Linked DNA regions of Saccharomyces cerevisiae S288C. The protein of the gene in region 2 interacts with the protein of the main gene of each other region in a pairwise test. Each region holds a gene or a part of one and is shown on either strand. Other genes may lie near its edges. The genes, in order: RCK2 and IRC6.

What was found.
Region 1: the proteins of IRC6 (region 2) and RCK2 interact in a two-hybrid assay, tested with the Saccharomyces cerevisiae proteins (one study listed by BioGRID).

Annotation. Positions count from the first base shown.
Region 1 is NC_001144.5:632,407-636,739, forward strand, and holds RCK2 (serine/threonine protein kinase RCK2), read left to right. Parts: upstream 1-1,845; coding exon 1,846-3,678; downstream 3,679-4,333. Other genes in the region: E3 ubiquitin-protein ligase IRC20, read right to left, coding at 1-948. UniProt on the Saccharomyces cerevisiae protein: Serine/threonine-protein kinase involved in a signal transduction pathway that is activated by changes in the osmolarity of the extracellular environment.
Region 2 is NC_001138.5:238,479-241,769, reverse strand, and holds IRC6 (Irc6p), read left to right. Parts: upstream 1-1,942; coding exon 1,943-2,656; downstream 2,657-3,291. Other genes in the region: DUG1 (metallodipeptidase), read left to right, coding at 333-1,778; KEG1 (Keg1p), read right to left, coding at 2,710-3,291. UniProt on the Saccharomyces cerevisiae protein: Involved in gross chromosomal rearrangements (GCRs) and telomere healing.

The DNA.
Region 1 (4,333 bases), on a different chromosome or scaffold from region 2:
AGGTGTATCACTAAGAGAATTACCATGCCCTTCTTTAATTAGCATCCACTCAACGCTCTCTCTTTGAAATGGTAAGAGGTTAACTTTTAGGTCTGGTATAGATTGGGGTAAGAACGGTTTGATCTTTGATAGCCTATCTTTACTATATTCCAAGATTTGAGAAATAAATTGTTTTTGAATGAAGTTTGAATGGATATGGCTGTGCTTGTGATATCGCTCAAATTCGTTCTCGTCCCTATTAGAGAACGTCAAGTCCAGTATTTGGTTAGCCTCCACGGAAAACCGGTTGAATTTATTATTTAAAAACTTCAACTTCAAATTAAAAGATAAAACCCATGTTAAAGAGGAATCATTGTATCGGAATACGACTGGAGAGCATTCAAAATCTTTGTAGGACAAAGATAATTCGTGTATACGACTTTTTAGTAATTTTTCAGGATCGTTAACATTTGAATTTTTTTTTCTTCTCTTTCTTGATGGTTTGCGTTCTAAAGATTTACGATTTTCTAACTGATTTCGTAGGGCCCTTTCTTGGTTTTTATGAGCACATATATCCAAGATCAGCGGAAGTTGTTTGTCAACAGCGATTTTTGAATTGTTCTCCATTTTAAATCCAATTTGAAATAAGGATACGGAATCTGACGACACAACAAGTGTTGCCTCGTTATCATTTTCACAAGGTAAGATCTCTATATCAACAATAAATTTAAATAACTGCCTACCGTTGTTGGAAAGACTTATTCGCTCTGGTATTTCGATATTTACCGAGGCAACGTTGATTAATTCTTTTCCGTTCTTGCTAACTTTTTGAGTTACAGTCTCTTGTTCCTGATTTAGCGCTGGCAATGCTGCTATCACTGAATCAAAAGAACCATTTTCTAGGAAAAAGTCGCATTTTTCGGCAGTCACGTTGTACTCCCTTGCTAATAGCGCACCTACTGCAGACATTTACCGTCGAATAAGTTGGCCTTTCCTGGAGTTCATTCCTTTAGACAGCGCCTAGAAAGTGGCAAATCAATACATTCATCAGCCACATTTCATCAGCTGTAGATCTGGAAAAGACGGGTAGCAGTTCGAGTGTTCCGAAAAAGGAAAAAACGAGCCTTATCCTTGGTCAGAGATGCGAGCAGGTAATTCCTTGAGCTCTCATAGGAGTGAAGCTATCCCAGACTCCTTGGATGTCCCTGTATTTGCGGTCAAGTTTGTTCTTTGACTGGTTCGTCATTTCGAGCTCACTTAAAAACAGGAGTTATTCAGCTACATCTTCAAGCTAATAAAACATCCGTTGCGCAGGCACTCTTTTTAGTAGTTGCCATTTCCTTTATTCTTGAAAGTACGAAGGCTGAAAAAGAGCCACTACGATCCAAAAAATCACCGTTAGTTTTAGTCGTCCACGAGTACGTTGGCATAAAGTCTAGTAATCTTTTTACTTTATAGCAATCAAGAGAAAAAAGGAGGATAAAGGGACATTTATTTGTTATTGTTTTTTGTTCTTTTTAAACTTTTTTACTGGCTAGGTTTAAGGTTATAATTATAAATCCAGTGATTAAGAGGAAACCTCGTCAAGAATCCTAGATAATAGTAATCAGCGACAGTTATTTCAACGAAGTCAAACTCTATCTCTGGGGCTTTATCTCTCCTATTGACATCTAACTTTTTACAAACGCTTACTAGAAAAGACGGATCGGCCAAAGAAAAAAAAAGAGTGACATCGAAAAAATTAAAGAAAATAAAATCCCAGATAGTTCATACGTTATTTGAAGTACAAACATTTAACGATTGGAAAAGACGAAAGTATTGTTAAGAGTACTGCTTATTTAGAGAGGATCAAACAAAATCTCTTCGATGCTTAAAATAAAGGCCCTTTTCTCGAAAAAGAAACCGGATCAGGCAGATTTGTCTCAGGAATCTAAAAAACCATTCAAGGGTAAGACCAGGTCAAGCGGTACAAATAACAAAGATGTTTCCCAGATTACTTCTTCCCCTAAGAAAAGCTTTCAGGACAAAAATATAGTTCAGTACCCGAGTGTTGTCGCAGATGACCATCATATGAAGTCTTTAACCGATGAATTAGTAACCACGATAGACTCGGACTCTTCACCGAGTGATAATATTACCACGGAAAATGTGGAAACAGTTACTTCCGTGCCAGCTATCGATGTCCATGAAAGTAGTGAAGGTCAATTAAGTTCCGACCCCTTAATATCTGACGAATCTCTTTCGGAACAAAGCGAGATTATCAGTGATATCCAGGATGACAGTACTGATGATGACAATATGGAAGATGAAATTCCGGAAAAATCCTTCCTCGAACAAAAGGAATTGATAGGTTACAAGCTGATCAATAAAATCGGTGAAGGTGCTTTTTCAAAAGTCTTTAGAGCCATACCTGCTAAAAATAGTTCTAATGAATTTTTAACTAAAAACTATAAAGCTGTTGCCATTAAAGTTATCAAAAAGGCAGATTTATCCTCGATTAATGGTGATCATCGTAAGAAGGACAAAGGGAAGGACAGCACTAAAACTTCTTCCAGAGATCAAGTCTTGAAGGAAGTTGCACTACATAAGACGGTTTCCGCTGGTTGTTCACAAATTGTCGCGTTCATAGACTTCCAAGAAACAGATAGCTATTATTATATTATTCAAGAGTTACTAACCGGTGGGGAAATCTTCGGCGAAATTGTTAGGTTGACCTATTTCAGTGAAGATTTATCAAGGCATGTAATCAAACAATTAGCACTGGCTGTTAAACATATGCATTCACTAGGTGTAGTGCATCGTGATATAAAACCTGAGAATCTTCTTTTTGAACCGATTGAATTCACACGCTCTATAAAACCAAAATTGAGGAAATCGGATGATCCGCAAACAAAGGCAGACGAGGGAATTTTCACACCAGGAGTTGGTGGTGGTGGAATTGGTATAGTAAAACTAGCTGATTTTGGTTTGTCTAAACAAATATTTTCCAAGAACACCAAGACTCCTTGTGGTACAGTCGGTTACACTGCCCCTGAAGTTGTCAAAGATGAGCATTATTCTATGAAAGTGGATATGTGGGGGATTGGTTGCGTTTTGTACACAATGTTATGTGGGTTCCCGCCATTCTATGATGAGAAAATTGACACTTTAACTGAAAAAATATCAAGGGGTGAGTATACCTTTCTGAAACCTTGGTGGGATGAAATCAGCGCCGGTGCCAAGAATGCCGTGGCTAAGCTATTAGAACTAGAGCCGTCTAAAAGATACGACATTGACCAGTTTTTGGACGACCCATGGTTAAATACATTCGATTGTTTACCAAAGGAGGGCGAATCTTCACAAAAGAAAGCAGGTACTTCCGAAAGACGCCATCCGCATAAGAAACAATTCCAACTATTTCAAAGAGACTCCTCGCTACTGTTTTCACCAGCTGCTGTTGCTATGCGTGACGCCTTTGATATTGGTAATGCTGTGAAACGTACCGAAGAAGACCGTATGGGAACACGTGGAGGATTAGGCTCGCTTGCTGAGGACGAAGAATTGGAAGATAGTTACAGTGGCGCCCAAGGCGATGAACAGCTGGAACAAAATATGTTCCAATTAACGCTGGATACGTCCACGATTCTGCAAAGAAGAAAAAAAGTTCAAGAAAATGACGTAGGGCCTACAATTCCAATAAGCGCCACTATCAGGGAATAGCAACTTTCCCTTCTGTTTCAATCTTTTTACCTATTCCTTTTTAAAAGATATATATACATTAAACTCCTTCTACAAGTATATATTTTATACATATCTACAGGGCGTATATATACATAACATTTTAAGATAAGCAAGTGAATGTTGATTCCCGTTTCTTAGTCAACACTTCTTTCTATTTTACCCGGTCGTTACCCTATTAAAAAAACAACTTACAATCATTGTTCGCCCCTTCCATACTTACTGCCACTCGCAAAAGGGCCCAACCAGGGCAATTACGTATCAAAAAATCATGACAGGCTGGGTAATAAATATTCGTGAAGAAAGAAGAAATTAAAAAAAGAAACGAAGAAGCAAAAAAAAGAAAAGACTCCGTTTAATCACTTTCAACCGCGGTTTATCCGGCCCCACCCATGCATAACCCTAAATTATTAGATCACTTAGCACGTGAAAAAGAAACGTTTTTAATGTTTTTTTTTTTTTTTTCTTTTTCTTTTTTTGCGTTGGTGAAAATTTTTTCGCTTCCTCGAGTATAATTATCTCATCTCATCTTTCATATAAGATAAGAAGTTTTATAAAAACCTTTTGCATCAAAATTTTGTAGAATATCTCTTTTTCTTACGCTCTCTTTCTTTCCTTAATTGTTTTCTAAAGAACC
Region 2 (3,291 bases):
GATTAATAAGTCGATTTTATTATGACTAGCGAAGGCGAACTAAACAAGAAGTCGATTAAATCCCTCGAGTGATTGATAACTCCACAACACATTTTGTGCGCCAATCGGTGGGTTAAATACTCGAGCACATCTTTTAGAATAAGTATTCGTATTCTTTTAAGTTGACCAATGCCACAGCATATTTTAGCAATATCCCTTATATTCGTCATTCAAAACGGCTACAAGAAAATGTGTCAAAAAAAAAAGAGAGACTATAATAGCAACATGTTGTTCTTATCAATTGAATCTCCCTTCATTGTTAGTTCAGTTGCTCCAGAGCATCGTACACAAGCATGTCTCACTCACTTACTTCCGTTTTCCAAAAGATTGATTCTTTAAAGCCTCAGTTCTTCAGCAGACTGACTAAGGCTATTCAAATCCCCGCTGTTTCTTCGGATGAATCACTAAGGTCCAAAGTCTTCGATAAGGCCAAGTTTATCTCCGAGCAATTATCACAATCGGGGTTCCATGACATTAAAATGGTGGATCTGGGCATTCAACCTCCACCAATTTCTACGCCAAATCTGTCTCTACCTCCTGTGATTCTGTCTAGGTTCGGCAGCGACCCTTCAAAAAAGACTGTGTTGGTTTACGGTCACTATGATGTGCAACCTGCTCAATTGGAAGATGGTTGGGATACTGAGCCATTCAAGCTTGTCATTGATGAGGCTAAAGGTATCATGAAAGGAAGGGGTGTCACCGATGACACTGGTCCCTTATTATCTTGGATTAACGTTGTGGACGCCTTCAAAGCCTCCGGACAAGAATTCCCCGTTAACTTAGTTACTTGTTTCGAAGGAATGGAGGAAAGTGGTTCTTTGAAATTGGATGAATTGATTAAAAAGGAAGCTAATGGTTACTTTAAAGGTGTAGATGCCGTTTGTATTTCCGATAATTACTGGCTAGGCACTAAGAAGCCTGTTTTGACTTATGGTCTAAGAGGTTGCAACTACTATCAAACCATCATTGAGGGTCCAAGTGCAGATTTACACTCTGGTATCTTTGGTGGTGTTGTTGCTGAACCAATGATCGATTTAATGCAAGTTCTCGGTTCCCTTGTGGATTCTAAGGGTAAGATCCTGATTGACGGTATTGACGAAATGGTTGCTCCTCTAACCGAAAAGGAGAAGGCTCTATACAAGGATATCGAATTTAGCGTCGAAGAATTGAACGCTGCAACTGGCTCTAAGACAAGTTTGTACGACAAGAAGGAAGACATCTTGATGCACAGATGGAGGTATCCTTCGTTGTCCATTCATGGTGTGGAAGGCGCCTTTTCCGCTCAAGGTGCAAAGACTGTCATTCCAGCTAAGGTCTTCGGTAAGTTTTCCATTAGAACCGTCCCCGACATGGATTCTGAGAAACTGACCTCTTTGGTCCAGAAGCATTGTGATGCCAAATTCAAGTCCTTGAACTCTCCAAACAAGTGCAGAACAGAATTGATCCATGATGGTGCTTATTGGGTTTCTGATCCATTCAACGCCCAATTTACTGCTGCTAAAAAGGCCACAAAACTGGTCTATGGTGTCGATCCTGATTTTACCAGGGAAGGTGGTTCCATTCCTATCACTTTGACTTTCCAAGATGCCTTGAACACTAGTGTCTTATTGCTGCCAATGGGTAGAGGCGATGATGGTGCTCATTCAATCAATGAAAAGTTAGATATTTCAAATTTTGTTGGTGGTATGAAGACGATGGCTGCTTACTTGCAATATTACTCTGAATCGCCAGAAAACTAAGTCATCTTATTTATATATGTGTATATATGTGTAAATTCCATGTCATTCAAGTTTACTCATTCCTATTCGAATTCTGAAAAGAGAGGAAAAACAGAAAACTCTTTATAGAGAAAATCTGATGCAGCAAGATAGCAAGTATATATACGCAAAAATACCAATCTACCATGGTTCTTCAATACCCCCAGAATAAAATATTGGTTTTATCAGATCACCCACACAACTTTTTAAAAACACAATTTTTGCAAGACCTGTTTCATTGCTCTAGCACGGGCATCAGTATAGTTAAGGACCAAACTTGGGAAAATAGATACTATAAAGTCCATTTTGATCTTTATATTGACTCTTGCAAAGAGATACCAGTATGGGTGGAAGAATTTATAACGCCTGAATGTGAACCGCTTAGAAATGTCATGGCAGGAATTATCTTAATAACGGACATCCGGCAAACAAAACCTCAAGAACTGCTGCACCAATTCATGATAGCTGCCCATCGAAATACTTTTGTTGTGTTGGCCAATGTGAACGAAGAAGTCGAGCAAGATGAAATTGATGAACTGAATGAGATATGGAGCAATGCCTTTACAAACGTCATCGAATTCGTAAACTGGAAAAGGTCAAAACCAACTGTTAATCATAACGACTATGGAGAAAAATTGGGGCTTGATAGGATCCAGGAGATTATAGATACCCACGACTGGTTAAATTGTGAAGTTCAACCGGCTACTAAAATAAGGGAGGAAATTCCTAATGAAATGCCCCTCGAACAAATAATTAGGAATTTGCAAAGTGCAAGGCTAAAATATAAGTCTATCGAGAATAGTAGTGAAGCTGATGCTTTTGCAAATGAAATGGCTGACGAACTATCCAGATATTTATGAGTATGTACAGATATGTATATGTGTATACATATGTATTAAACCAATAAGATTGCTCATTTTGTTAATAGTTTTTTGTATGCTGTTAGTAGTACAGGGAAGTATGCTAGTAAAACCACCCTGTTGATTATGTCCAAAGTCGGGGTAGAATGATAGTTCTTAACCTGGATATTTAATAGTAGCAATGCAAATTCACTCAGGTAGAGAATTGGCAATGTAACAAATGTGTTAACCTTCCATACAAGTGTTCTTTCCTTTACGCCCTTACGTTTAAAAAGTTTGCACCAATGGCAATATGCCTGTGATAAAGATAAGGAAATAATGAAACTAGAATATGATGCATTCTTGAGGATCAATGCATGCTCATAATCGTCATAAAAATGGATCACGCTGACTAAATAGATAAAATTTAGGTCTTTCAAAAACGTTCTTGAAAGCAAACCATATTTGAACCCGTGGAATCTAAGCAACCAAATAACTTCCATGATGCTGGAATAAAACATCAAATATATCAAGAATTCGTGGATTCCTCCCGGTAAAAACCGAGACCCTACCAGTGGCATTAATATCAGCCACCGTATCAATAATGCAGCATACAAAAAGCTTGTGGCTAATTGATAATACTGATAAAGCTTATG